Pelodiscus sinensis: one gene and its partner. The protein of the gene in region 2 purifies or fractionates together with the protein of the main gene of each other region. This does not show direct contact. Links are inferred from orthologs where the notes say so. Each region holds a gene or a part of one and is shown on either strand. Other genes may lie near its edges.

What was found. The genes of interacting proteins can lie anywhere in the genome.
Region 1: the proteins of RMND5A (region 2) and RANBP9 purify together in Homo sapiens (affinity purification with mass spectrometry; 9 studies listed by BioGRID and IntAct, counting the BioPlex papers as one, with this or other methods). This does not show direct contact. The link is inferred for Pelodiscus sinensis from reciprocal best matches to the Homo sapiens genes RMND5A and RANBP9.

Annotation. Positions count from the first base shown.
Region 1 is NC_134712.1:106,033,840-106,041,197, forward strand, and holds the start of RANBP9 (ran-binding protein 9), read right to left. Parts: upstream 3,018-7,358; 5' UTR 2,671-3,017; coding exon 2,250-2,670; intron 1-2,249. UniProt on the Homo sapiens protein: May act as scaffolding protein, and as adapter protein to couple membrane receptors to intracellular signaling pathways. Acts as a mediator of cell spreading and actin cytoskeleton rearrangement.
Region 2 is NC_134715.1:122,882,335-122,889,931, reverse strand, and holds the start of RMND5A (E3 ubiquitin-protein transferase RMND5A), read right to left. Parts: upstream 3,001-7,597; 5' UTR 2,577-3,000; coding exon 2,435-2,576; intron 1-2,434.

The sequences.
Region 1 (7,358 bases), on a different chromosome or scaffold from region 2:
GGAAGGAGAAGTTGCTATAGGCTATGTGTTTTACAGTTACTCCTCACCCCACTCTATTTCTGTTCCACATTCTCCTGGACTGGTCTGGTGATCCCTACTGGGATCATTCTTCACCTCTGAATCAGGTACGGTTAACAGTAATTAGTCAATGTACATTTATGACAATTGTCTCCACAGTTCCCAAGTGCCCAGTGGTCACCATGCAACCATTATATAAATATAAAATCCTATTTAAAATGTTAACCAGTTAAAACCGGGGGGCAAGGCCACCACACTACAGCAGTGGTCAGGGGCTGATCCCGCCTGACTGTGCAGGGCCTGCCACATCACCGGGCTGCTCCAGCGAGGACACCCATTGGTTAACAAGTTATCCTGGTAAGCATGCTTGTAAGGCAAAACTTACTGGGTAACCGATTAACCAGCTACCCCTTTATATCTTTGGTAACTATCGATATTTCAAACACACATGATTACATTCTGAAAAGGATGAGGAACAGAAAAAGAAAAACAATATTTTCACATTAAAAAAGGCCGGAAAGATTCTATATCTACCTGTTTGTTATATACTGTGTGTTTTTAAATAATAGTTTACAAAGATACAATAGGAAGACCAGCCATCCATAAAGCCCCACCCTGGCCAAGTGTAAGAGAATCCTCATTGCAGCCAGATCCCAGTACATACAAAATACTCCTAAAATATTTAAAGTCATACAAAGCCAAACAAAAGCCAGAAACTTCAAAGATAAAAAACACAATGTTAATTTTAACTAACTCTTGTTGTCTTCCAAATAAAATACAAAGAAGAGCCTACAATAAGGCTTATCAAATTTGAATGTACTGACTTTCATAAGTTTGCCTCAAACTTTGTGTTACTTAAAATGAATATTTTGTTTTTAACAATAGATTAGTGTCTGCCTGTGGTAGATTTTACAGAATACACCTCACCTTTCATGGCAGTCATGAATGTTGTATGTTTTGTGTGCCATTTTCCTCCCATTTGAATCAACCATAACATGTTTTTCAAGACTTCACTTGAATTTCAGGGTTATTCTCCTTCCCCTCTATACTCATTTTGACTGCAATCTGACCTCCCTTTATTGCCAATCAGAAACTGTTTTGAATCTGAAGCACTTTTACATAGGATTTGGGCCTGGAATGACAGAATTTTTTTTCCAAGTCAGGGTAAACTCAAGTTACTAGCTTTTATAATATTTTTCACAACTATCACCAGTTAAAGTACCTTATTGTCATCTCTGGTAGATTTACATGAGTGTATATGATTTGGATATCTTTTCTTCTGAAATAAAAGCCTTACAATATTGTAAGTTGATCTCTGAGAAACCTGAGCACAGAGTATGAGATTAGGTCACTCCTACATTTTAAATTAATTTTGAACATTTCCTAAAGCATGCTCTACATTACATATAGTATTTACCCAGGGACTATTATTAGGGGCTACTTTAAATTATATTATTTCATACACGTTTCATTTTCTACAGACCAAGAAGTATTTTCTCGGTGGCTTCCCCTCCCTGCCATTTCCGTGTTTGGTAGTTTTACATGTACTGATCTTATAACTCCCTATAGCCCTTGTTCTCACTTCTAAATAAAAAAGCATATTTTTTGTAGACAGACACATGACACCATGCTGATCCTACTTTATTCTCCTGCTTGCCCTCAAACTCTCATTTGATAGCAGAATTGACAAGCTGAGGAAGGCTACTAATTTATAGCCCATCAGCCCAAAATCCAGAGTGGGAAAGGAGACAAGATCTGGTGAGCTTTCCCATAGGCTTATACTTCGGGGTAAGAGAAAAAAGAGGAATCCGGATCATCACGCCCATCATGTAAACTGTTTAGGAGATTCCACAAAGATATTTCCCGATATGTCTCTCCCTCCCCCCCAACACACACACCGGATCAGGCTGCTGCCCTTTCCAAGAGAGATTTCCAGGTGAAAAGGGGACCCACTAGGGGACTAGCCTCATGGAGAAGGGGCACTGAGGTGAGAAGCCAGGCGCGCAGGGGGCTGGGCAAGAGGTCCCTGGTGGCCTGCATGTAAACATGCCCCCCTCCCTCCAGAATGTGCGCGTCGATACACAGAGCCGTGGCCGGGCTCCCCGCTCCATGGAGGAAGGCCCTGGGTCCAGGAGCGGGGGTTCCCTCCCCCGTGGGGCCGAGCCCTGGGGCCACGCGGGAGGGGGCGCCCCCCTCGGTGGGCCGGGCCCGTGTCCGGGCCGGGCGCTCACCTTTGTAGTGCACCCGCAGGTTGTTCTGCGAGAGGCCGATGTAGCTGAATTTGTCCTTCGGGCTCCAGGAGCGGGGCAGCGGCGTTTCCTGCTCGTCCACGGCCGGGTAGAGCCGCTTCAGCCGCCGCTTCAGCTCCTTCTCCTGCTCGTTGAGGGCCGGGTCGCCGTGCGGGAAGGCGGCCGGGGCGCTGCTCCCCGCGGGCAGGCCCATGGCGGGCAGGGGCCCAGCGACGGGCGGAGGCGGGGGAGGCGGCGGCGCCGCGGTAGCCGGTGGCGGGGGAGGCGGCGGGTGGAGCAGCAGCGCGGCCGCCGGGGCCGGGACCGGGACCGGAGCGGGGCCGGCGCCAGCGGCGGGGGCGGCGATCCCCGGGGCCTGGGGAGCCGCCGTCAACGGAAGCTGCTGCTGCTGCTGCCCGGACATCCCGGCCTCTGCCAGCTACTACGGCGGCGCGCGGCGGGTCTCCGGGGCGGGCGCGGCGGGCAGGCCCGGGCACTGCGGAGCGAAGCGGTGGGGGGAGGGGGGGCTAGACGGGCAGCCCGGAACCACCGCAGGCGGCGGTTACAGACCCAGGGCGAGGGGGGCCGCGCGCGCGCGCTGGGGAAGGAGGGGGGGGGGGGGTCTCGAGCTCGGGCCGCGGCGCTGGACTGGCTGAAGGAGGCTCAGAGCGCGAGACGCCGCGGCTGGTCCCCAGGCCGGCGCCAGACACTGCCGCGGCGCTGGAGCGTCCTCCCGGATCAGCTGAGCGGCTCCCCGCGGCGGCGCGAGGAGGAGCAAGGGGCGGGGCTTCCGCCAGTCGCAGGGCGCGAGGGCGGCGGCACGCGAGCAGGCGTGAAGGGAGCTGGGCGCTGCTCCGCGGTGGGGCTCGTCCGTTTTCCCGGGCCCTCTGGCCTTGGCCCGGAGGACTGAGCAGGGTCCCAGGCGAAGGGGTACTGTCTGCAGCCAGGGGCGGCTAGTGCTTGCGGTGCAGGGCGATCGCCCATGGCAGCATCCCATCTACTAATTACAATTTTAGTAGGGCCATGGGGGGCGGTGCACCTCCGGAGTGCTACCATGGGTCACCTGTGTCTGCACTCACACCCATGTCAGTGCCAGCAAACAGGAGGTATCTCCTGGCCCACTCACACCTAAATCAAAAGGGTGGGGATGAAGAAATCTCTGCAGACCTGGCTGGTGGTGCCCTCTTGGAGGGAGCTGCCCTGCTGTACCTGTGGTAGCCAGCACCCTTCACATGCAGTAAATACAATCACACTTGCCTCAGGTGTTGATGCGCAATAATCTTCTTTTATAGACTGGGTTTATTGCTTTTAGGCAAAGAGCCTTGTGCTCAGGGGCGGCCCTAAATTAGCTGCCAGCAGCTGGTGCCCTAGGCAAACCATGCAATCAGCACCCCCCATCTCCAAACCCCTCAATGATATTCTGCCACCATTTGGTGCCCCATTGAACTTGGTGACCTAGGTGACCGCCTAGTTCGCCTATATGGATGGACCGCCCCTGCTTGTGCTTTGCAAAGGATAAACAGTTCTGTGGAGGGAGCTGGGCATCTGTTGTTTAACATATTTGATCTTAAAGGAATGATACCTCTTAGATTAATTTTTTCCTGACAATCTATAGAGTTTACAAGGAACATCTGAAGAAGTGGGTTATGCTCATGAAAGCTTATGATAATATGTATATTTTTTTTGGTTAGGCTCTAAGGTGCTACAGGACCATTGTTTTTTTAGTTTCAGTCTAATACAGCTACTCAGAGATCTGTGCTTACTTTACGTGCAGTGGGACTGGAACAGTTTTTATAGTGAGGTTGCTGAGAGAACTATACTGTACATCCTGTATATAATGGAAACCACTTCAAATCAGCCGCGCTACACGGGGTTCAAGCAAGCGGGGATTTAAAAATGGCGGCTCCCCGCTTATGCAAATGAAGCCCGGGAAATTCAAATCCCGGGCTTCATTTGCAAGTGCGGTATGCCTACATTACCCTGCTAGTTCGAACTAGCGGGGTAGTGTAAACATACCCTCTGTATCTGACTCATCATCAGTCCTCATCTTCAAAGTAAATGTACAACATAACATTTTCAAAAGATGGGCCTGGGAGCTTAAACTCATAACTTTGGTCCACACTAAAAAATGAAGATCTGACTAAAGACACTGGATTATGGTTTATTACAACATGCTGTAACCAGCTAGCCCATATTTTTCCCCTCTGACTACAGGGATGTTAACATACCATTTCACCTTGAATGGTCCCCTAATTTAGCATAACTCAGTGGTTCTCAGCTTATTTACCAAGGTGAGCTGAACATACAGCTCTGTGTTATGTGGGCTGCAATCCACATAATATATATAACTAGCTGTATGATCCAGAGAATGTCAACAGGCAGGGCTGTCCTTTGGGGTGGGTGCCCTGCCCCCATTCCACTCCTTTCTCCAAGGCCCATCCCAGGCTCTGCTCCTGCCCCACCTCTTCCCATCCCTGCTCCACCACTGCCCCCAAGCTCCTCCTCCTGCCCCCAAGCAACGTGACAGGAGTCTGCTGCTGGCAGCAGGGTGGGGCCTCCCTGCACTCACCGCTTCCTGGCATTGCTTCCCACTGGCACCAGGCTTCTCAGTTATCCCCTGGGCTCTATCAGTGGGCTACAGTAGTGTGCTGATTGGGCCGCAAGCAGCCCATACTGGGCCGTAAGCAGCCCATAAGCCACAGGTTGAGAACCACTGTTATAAGTAGTTAGCACATATTCTATCTGTTCAAGGTTATATTTAGCTGTCGTGCTCTTCTTGAAGAAGTCTGTGAAAATCAAATCCTTGTGTGTCTCACCACTAAAATGTAATCCAAAAAAAAGATTACATCACCCAGCTTTTCTCTTTAATATCCGGGGATCGACCATTCTTATTATATATACATATATTTTAGCAATAACTGTTTTAATTCTGAGTATTCACGTTGGTCTTACAACTGTCGTAGACCCTTTTTGAATTAGGGATGTAAGCGAGTAATCAACTACTCGACTACGATAAACATAAACGTATCCAATAGTCAAGTGGAGTACTCATAGACTTTAAGGTCAGAAGGGACTATTATGATCATTTAGTCTGACCCCCTGCACAGTGCAGGCCACAGAATCTCACCCACCCCTCCTAGAATAATCCTCACACCTATATCTCAGATATTGAAGCCTTCAAATACTTTGAAGACCCCAAGATGCAGAGAATCTTTCAGCTGTGATCTGTACCCCATGCTACAGAGGAAGGCGAAAAACCTCCAGGGCCTCTGCCAATCTACCCTGGACGAAAATTCCTTCCCAACCCCAAATATGGCGATCAGCTAAACCCTGAGCATATGGGCAAGACTCATCAGCCAGACACCAAGAAAGTTCTCTAAAGTAACTCCTATCATCCCTCCATTGACCTATTTCCCACTAATAATGAACGGTCAATTAGTTCCCAAGATCATGTTATCTCATCAAACCATCCCCTTCATAAACCCATCTAGTTTAATCTTGAAACCAGATCGATCTTTTGCCCCCACTACTTCCCTTGGAAGGCCGTTCCAGAACCTCACTCCTCTAATGGTTAGAAACCTTCGTCTAATCTCAAGTCTAAACTTCCTACTAGCCAGTTTATATCCATTTGTTCTTGCGTCCACATTGGTATTAAGCTTAAATAATTCCTCTCCCTCCCTAGTATTGATCCCTCTAATATATTTAAAGAGAGCAATCATGTCACCCCTCAGCCTTCTTTTGGTTAAGGTAAACAAGCCAAGCTCCTTGAGTCTCCTTTCATAAGACAGGTTTTCCATTCCTCGGATCAACCTAGTGGCCCTTCTTTGTACCTGTTCCAGTTTGAATTCATCCTTCTTAAACATGGGAGACCAGAACTGCACACTGTATTCCAAATGGGGTCTCACCAATGCCTTGTATAATGGCACTTAACACCTCCTTATCCCTACTGGAAATACCTCGCCTAATACATCCCAAGACCGTATTAGCCTTTTCACAGCCATGTCACAATGGCGGTTCAAGTGGAGTACTCGACTACTCACTCTCCCTCCCCATTGCCTTGGTATGAGAGGCAGGAAGTGGAGGGCAGAGCCCAGTGCTGCCTCTCGGGATGGGAGGCAAAGGAGGCTGCTCTGGCCTCTCTGCAAACAGGAACTGCTGCTACAGAGCAATGCCTGTTCACAGCAGCCAGGCTGGCTGTGGGGAGGGGCTGCATCAGCATCAGTCCCTGTTTGTGCCCAGCTCCAGGCACCACAAAGAGGGGCTGCCAGGCCCGGCATGAACTGGGACTGAGCAGTTCCCGCTCATATGGGTGCAGGACCACTGTGCCTCTGCATTTTAAATGTAGTAAGAGCCGCCAAGCTCTTATTACCTTTAAAATGTAGAGGTGCAGTGGTCACAGAGAATGCCTCCCCTTATCGACTAATCGTGTATCCAATTGTATTGACTCCACACTTAGCAAACACCTGTTCCTTAACATCCTTATTTTGAATCTTGCTGATTTTCTGGCAACTCAGCAACTTCCTGTGGCATTGAATTCCATAGTCTAGTTGCATGTTGTGTGCAATAGTATTTCCTTTTATTTATTTTAAATAGGTAGCCTTTTAATGCCTGTCTCTTTGTTCCTGTACTATGAGATCGGGAGAGCAGAAGTGCCTGCTCTGCCTTTTTGCGCCCATTCATTATTCTATATACTTTTATTCTCTCCACTCTTATTCATCTCCTTTCTAAGGTAAATAATCCCAGTCTTTTCAATCTGTCTTCGCACGTGAGTTTTTCCATATTTCTAATCATTGTTGTATGCAGTGGTGTTGCAGCTGTATCAATCCCAGGATTATTAGAGAAACAAGATAGGTGAGGTAATATCTTTTACTGGGACTACTTCTCAAAATCTTGACTTTCTCACCAACAGATGTTGGTCCAGTAAAAGATATCGTCTAAGCCACTTTGCTCCCTAATCATTCTTGTCATCCTTCTTGCAACAAGATCAATTGCCAGGTTCTCATTCTTCTCATATCCTCTTTGGTATGGAGTGACCAGCAATACACACAGTATTCCAGGTGAGGTCACACTATTAAGGCATTATAATATTGTCTGTCTCATTCCCTATGTATC
Region 2 (7,597 bases):
AAAATCCAACAAACCTGTTGTTTACGTCATCTTGTCGGGCTGTTAAGACTGCTTTCAATAGCAGTGACTAATTCCATTATTACTCAATGCAAAGGAATAAAGATATAAACATATTGACCAATATAAAGATGGCACAGCAGAACCCACTGACCAAGAGTAAACACTTGTATTCATTAACGAATAAACAGGCATGTTCGAAATGGACCAATCTTCGTCCCAATTCAACACCCACAACCAGAAGTGCTAGCCTCCTCCATCACCCAAATAAGAATCTGTCTATGGCATGCTATCATTAGAACCATGGTCGCAACAAAATGGTTTACGTTCAGAGCATAGCAGAGATGTGCGCAGTTTCCCCGAAGGAGCACAGTGATTATTTTAACTGATCTTGGAAACAGAAAAATTGCCCGGTCCAAGCAGTATGCAGAAATTGGTCTAATAAAAGATATTACCTCATCCACCTTGTCTCCGCAAGTCAGGAAAGCCCTGTTAGGACCCCACACTACTAACAGTAACAACGGTGCTCAAATACTCTGGTTAGCATGCTGTTAACTGTAAGGTGTTGCCATGGTCTAAATTTAAACACGCTTGTAACTTCTTCACTACAGTGTTATGACTCAAGTTACAAGAGCATTTAATACCACCTAATGCCACCTAAGAAACTGTAAACAGAGGCTTGCTCCCCTTTACAAAAAATTGTATAGGCAAGAAAGGAAGACAATGAAAAAAAGGAAGTTTGTCCAAAGACGGTTTACTTTAACTTTTCTATGTTATGACTGGTTAGGAATTTTCCCCCTTTTACACTCTGTTTATGAAATCACTATTTTATTTTCCTTGAGTGTTTAAAAATCACAGAGAACAGCAGCAGGGTGATGGGACCAGGAAGGAGAAGGAAGACATGGCAGCTCAGAGGAGTTGTTCCAAACAGGGAAGGGGTGATGGTGGTAGGAATGATGGTGAAAGAGGCTGCTGAGACTGGGAAAAGGGGGGCCTAAGAAGCCAGATTGGAGCATCTGGGGGGAGGGGACCCAGGGACTCTGAGTCTCTGTGGAAAGAGGGGATGTGAGCCTCCTGAGGGGACAGACAACATGGAGCTCCAAGGCTTATTGCAGATACAGCTGGGAGCAAAGGGAAGGGGCCCAAAGAGCTGAGATGGGGTTAGGGGGGCTCGTTCGGGCAGGTGCCTGAGAAACTGGGATCAGTGAGGACAAATGGAAGTCATGCAGACAGGATTTAGGAGAGGGGGTGCAAATGAAAACTGGGGGCAGAAGCTCGGACGGAAGGGAAAGAGGGCTGAGAACTGAGAACCAGGATGGGGGGAGGGGACCCAGGATGGGGATGCTGAGGGGACCCGGGATTGAGAGTGCATGGTGGGGGGGGGGATCCGGGATGGAGGAGGAACATGGGGGGGCAGAGCAAGGGGACAGGAAATCGGAGGAACCTGGGGGGAGGGCGAAGGGCCCCGGGATGGAGGGGAGCATGGGGGGACCGAGGGGCCCCAGAAGAACCTGGGGGCACGGGGACCAGGGATCGGGGAACCTGTGGGGAGAGGCCCCGGGGCTGTGAGTACCTGGAGGGCAGAGGGATCCGGGACCGGGGGTAACATGGGGGGGAGAGGGGCCCCGGGACGGAGGAGGAGAATGGGGGGGACCAAGGGGCCCCGGGATGGAGGAGGAGCATGGGGGGGGACCATGGGGCCTCGGAAGAATCTAGGGGCGCGGGGACCAGGGATCGGGAACCTGTGGGGGGCGACGGGACCGGGGGTAACATGGGGGGCGAGAGGACCCGGGATGGAGAGGAGAGCATGGGGGGCGAGGGGCCCTGGCATGGAGATGGGGACATGGGGAGGACCATGGGGCCCCAAGATGGGGGAGGAGCATGGGGGGGAGACCATGGGGCCCCGGAAGAACCTAGCGGCGCGGGGACCAGGGATCGGGGAACCTGTGGGGGGCGAGGGGACCCGGGATGGAGGGGGGAGCATGGGGGGGGGCGAGGGGACCCGGGATGGACGGGGGAGCATGGGGGGGGGCGAGGGGACCCGGGATGGAGAGGGAAGCATGGGGGGGGCGAGGGGACCCGGGATGGACGGGGGAGCATGGGGGGGGGGCGAGGGGACCCGGGATGGAGGGGGAAGCATGGGGGGGGGCGAGGGGACCCGGGATGGAGGGGGGAGCACGGGGGGGGGCGAGGGGACCCGGGATGGAGGGGGGAGCACGGGGGGGGGCGAGGGGACCCGGGATGGAGGGGGGAGCACGGGGGGGGGCGAGGGGACCCGGGATGGAGGGGGGCCCATGGGGGGGGGGCGAGGGGACCCGGGATGGAGGGGGGCCCATGGGGGGGGGGCGAGGGGACCCGGGATGGAGGGGGGCCCATGGGGGGGGGGCGAGGGGACCCGGGATCGGGCTCCCTGGCGGGCCCGGCGCGCCGCACGTACTCTCGCTCTGCAGGATCTCGCGGCGCAGCCCCCCCGCGTACTGGATCAGCTCCTCCAGGCTCCGCTCGCAGAGCTGCCCGTAGCCCGCGAACTTCTGCAGCACCTTCTCCAGCTCCCGCTCCACCGTCACGCACTGATCCATGGCGAGCGCCGCGGGGCTGCCGCTCCTCCGGCCGGGCCTGCCTGCCGCCGCCGGGCCGGATTTTGTTTCGAACTTCTACCAGCGGCTGGGCAGGCAGCGCCAAGGCAGCCGGGGTCCTCAGCGGCAGCGGGCTCCCTGGCTGTGTGGGCACCGGAGCGGGCACCCGGGGTCCTTAGGCAGTTGTTGTTCAGGCGGCACAGTAGACAGTCGGGGTCCACAGAAGGGCTCTGTTTCAAACAGCTGGGGTGCTATGGTGGTTTGTTACTCCACGACCCATACTGATAGCCGGAGCTTGGCTTAGTGCGGGCGCAGCGATCGGAGTCCTGGGCGGAATTTTTTTTTTTCAGGCAGTGCCACAGCCACCTTGGGTCTTTGGGCGGGGGCAGGGTTCGGCTGCGCTGTGTTCCGGGTAGCTCCTTAGGCAGACGCGCTGGCTGCTTTGCGGCCGCTCTTAGGGAAGCTCAGGGCGCGAGGCTGGGGCGGGGCCTGAGGAGGTGGTGGTGGTCACGTGCACGTATAAATACTCCAGCGCCCCTTAGGGGCGCGGCGTAGCGCTGGACACTAGTGACCTCGAGGAGCCTTCCAGGGAGCGATCCTGCGCGGGGCGCGCTGTGCCAGGGGCGCCTCCGGTGGTACCTGTGCAGTCCCAGCTGCAAGCAGAAGGGGTCGGGGTGACGGTGCTTGCGGCTCTCCTGGGCATTGTAGCTTGCCATGGGGGAAAACCCCTGATCTCTAGGGGATTGGCTCAGGCAGAGGCAGTCAAGGAGTCCAGCAGCTGTGCCTTCTGGACTCGGGTGATAGAAATGTAGCCGTGTTAGTCTGGTGTAGCTGAAACAAAATACAGGACTAACAGGATGGTTTATTAGGTGGTGAGCGTTCGTGGGGTCTGGCCCACGAAAGCTCATCACCTAATAAACCATCTTGTTAGTCTTTCAAGTGCTACATAGTCCTGTATTTTGTTTCTGGAGTCAGGATTGTGCCGCATTGCATCCGCTAATGGGAGACAAGACCTGTGAGAGCAGGGGGGGGGGTCGCCAACTTTTATAAGTGCAAGATGGCTTTTTAAAATTTAAATGCAATCCAGAATCTACCTCCAGCCCAAGTACCCTGCCCCACTTCTTTTATGCCTCTTTGCCAAGGCTCTGCCTCAGTTCACTCAGTCCTCCTTGCCTCCTCCATTCTCCCTCCTTTTCACCAGGCAGGGCAGAGGGTTGGGGCACAGGCTCTGGTCTTGGGCTAAGGGATTTAGAGTGCGAGAAGGGCTCTGAACTAAATGGCTGCGTCTAGACTGGCAAGTTTTTCCGCAAAATCAGCTGCTTTTGCGGAAAAACTTGCCGGTTGTCTACACTGGCTGCTTGAATTTCCGCAAGAACACTGACTTCCTACTGTCTGAAATCAGTGCTTCTTGCAGAAATACTATGCTGCTCCCATTCAGGCAAAAGTCCCTTTTGCGCAAAGCTTTTGTGCAAAAGGGCCAGTGTAGACAGCTCAGATTTGTTTTGCGCAAAAAAAGCCATTTTTGCGATCGGGGCTATCGGGGCTTTTTTTTTGCAGAAAAGTGCGTCTAGATTAGCATGGACGCTTTTCCACAAAAAGTGCTTTTCCGTTAAAAGCATTTGCGGAAAATTATGCCAGTCTAGACGTAGCCAATGTGTGGTAGGGTGTTGGGTTGCAGGAGGGGAGGTTCAGGGTATAGGCTCTATAAGGGAATTTCTGTCTAGGGGGCTCACGCCTAGGGTAAGGGCTTGGGATGTAGGTGGGGGTACATGACTGGGGCAAGGGTTTGGAGCTGGCTTCAGGTGTACAGTGCTTACCTCAGGTGGCTCCTGGGTGGTGGTACCATGGGGCTAAGGCAGGCTCATTCCTGTCTTGGCCCTGCACCACTCCCAAAAGCAGCCAGCAAACTCTCTCTATCCCAAACCCTGTTGTGTGCCCCCCCCCTTCCATTCTGTGGAGATAGAATGGAGGGCAGGGGAGCATTCTGACCTTAGCACCCCTCCTCTCTCTTACCTCCTCTGCACAACAAGCAGGAGGCTCCTGGAGGGGGAGGCAACTCCAAGGCAAAGGGGAGGAGATGTGCAGCAATTGGGGGTGGGAGGCGCTGAAGTGCTGTGCTTGATAACCTCTTGGCCAAACCAGTCAGGATCACCTGTCAGACGTGCTAAGCTCTACCAGACTATCAAAATCTACTGGTTGGTGACCACTGTGTTAAAGGATCTTCATCGCCCACCACTTCACTTCCCTATCCAACCCTAACACCACCTACATCAGTGGTCCCCAACGTTGCGTGGCTGCCAGGTGCCTGGGGACAGAGCCACTCACGTGCCGGGCACACGGGGGTGGGGCCACGCCTGCGCCGCGCACCCGGGGGCGGGGCCACCCACGAGCCATGTGCCCAGGGTTGGCACTGCGCATGTGCCGCGCGCCCGGGACTGCCCACGAGCCACGCGCCCCAGGCCGGCACTGCACATGTGCCCTGGGGCCGGGGCTGGGGCTGCCCATGCGCCCCGGGCCGGCCCTGCGCATGTGCCGCGCGCCATGGGGAGGGGCCGCCCATGCGTCCCGCGCCTGGAGCCAGCACCATGCATGTGCCGCGCGCTGGGGGTGGGGCCAGCCCAGATGTTTCAGCGGGCGCACAGAAATCCCCCGGCGGGCGCCATGGCGCCCACGGGCACCACGTTGGGGACCCCTGACCTATGTTGTCTACTCAAGCTTCCACAATCTTATTTCCATCTCGTCACATTCCTTGGTAGGGTGCTATGTAATTCATTTCACTTTACTGCTGCTAGCTATGTGAATCTGCAATTGGTTCCCATGCTCAGAGCTTTTTCAAACAACAGCAGTTTAAATGAGACCAGAACTTAAGTAGCTTTTATGTTGCTATTCAGAATCCTGTATGTAGGGGTCGAACTGACAAGAACTATGTTGCTTTGACCCTGCTGCTGTTCGGAAAAACACTGAGCAATAGCAAAAGAAATTACTAAAGAGGGAAATTCAAGAGTCTGAAGGAAGGATGAGACTAGATTAATAGAACAACTTCAAGGTCACGGGCTGGTAGAAAATGCTTCTTTTATGGAGGCAGTGTATAGAGAGGTTTCAAAACTGTTAGACCTCTAGAGGCTTCCATGAAAGATGGTGCTCTTGATTATGGTGAAGGGACAGTACCATGGTAGGAATCCCAGCACCTTTCCCTTTCCAGCAAGTTGGAGGAATGGTAGCTGTCTTTTCCTTGGGTTATTAGTTTGAATAGTGTGTTACCCCCCTGTTTTATTTTGGATTTGTCTAGTGAGTTTAATGTTTTGACAAGTTGATAGCTGGTGAACTTTTCAAACCCTGCTTGAAAACTTCATCCTATTCCTTTAACATCAGTTACTTGGAGTTCACAGAGAATATTAATAATCCTACTTTTCTGGTGGGGAAACTGAGGCATTGCTCATGAGTCTCCATCCTCTGTGGCAGTGTAGCTAAATTTTATCACAGGAGTCTCAAGTTATGCTTTAGTATTAATTTATTCTGTCTTCACTAAATACTTCACATTCAGTTAGCCATAGGCATGAAAATATTTGCTAAGGAACCTGGAGCAAAATTCTTAGTTCCAGCAATGCAGTATTCCTATTGGCTACGTCTAGATTGCATCCCTTTTTCATAAAAGGGATGCAAATTAGACATATCGCAATTGCTAATGAAGCAGGGATTTAAATCTCCCCCGCTTCATTAGCATAAAAATGGCAGCCGCTTTTTTTAGGCACGGTGCTTTGCCTGAAAAAAGTGCCAGTCTAGACGCGGATCTTTCGGAAAATAAAGCCTTTTCCGAAAGATCTCTTATCCCTCTTAAAATAAGGGATAAGGGATCTTTCAGAAAAGGCTTTATTTTCCGAAAGATCCGCATCTAGACTGGCGCTTTTTTCCAGCAAAGCTCCGTGCTGAAAAAAAGCGGCTGCCATTTTTATGCTAATGAAGCGGGGGAGATTTAAATCCCCGCTTCATTAGCAATTGCGATATGTCTAATTTGCACCCCTTTTACGAAAAAGGGATGCAATCTAGATGTGGCCATTATGTCTGGTTCTATTTACTGTATTTAATTCATCCTTTTTATTTTCAGTTGGTTTTTTTCCACTGCACTGTCAAAGTGGTCAATCTTCTTGGGCTTCTGCTGTAATGACAGTAACTGCAGATTGCTTTGCTTGAATTTTTTGCCTATGTTTATTTTCTGTATTGGATGATAAATTGAATGAGTCAGCACTGGTGCTGTGACAAGAGAATACTGAATAGTTCATGGCAATAGAGGATTTTTAAGAGTTCTTTGACTTATTCCTCTCCTGTTTAGGCTGATTGGGCCTCAATTCAGGTAGATGAATGTTCAGGATATTTACTAGACTCTGGAAGTCAGAGAAAGAGGGGAGGGGAAAGGTAAATAAATGCAATAAATAGAACGAGACCTAATACGAATATTATATTGTGGAATTAGGAATTTTGCTCTATTGCACATAGAAATACACACCTGTATATTCACCTGCACATTTACTCATCAAATCTACATTGACTGTAACCACCTGTAATTCTTCCTGTTAATCTGGCCTCTTATTACTCTGTCTGTAGTTACCAATAGTCACAGTCTCATGAGTCAGTAAAGCCAATTTAACTCATGTATGCAGCCCTGAAAATGTGTACAAATTAGGAAACATCACATTATTGCATTATTTGTGTCATGAGATCACTTAAACTCCAGTCAAGATCAGTAGGACTTACCACACTGGCATTTTAAAGTCCTGTAGTGATAGGCAGTCTCTGCCCTGAAGATAAAATAATCTAAATAATATCTTAAATATTTTTGGATCGTGCATCCTAATATAGATTGTTGGTGTCCAGGCATAAGGGGCCAGAGTTGAGACATTTGTGGAACCTAATCTCCGCATGTCCTGAGTTTCTCACATTCTTGTTAGTTTAATAACTGTGGTCTCCATGATGTATTCAAGGCATTTAGGGTAATTCTTAAAACAGTTGGTCTAAATTGTAAAAAA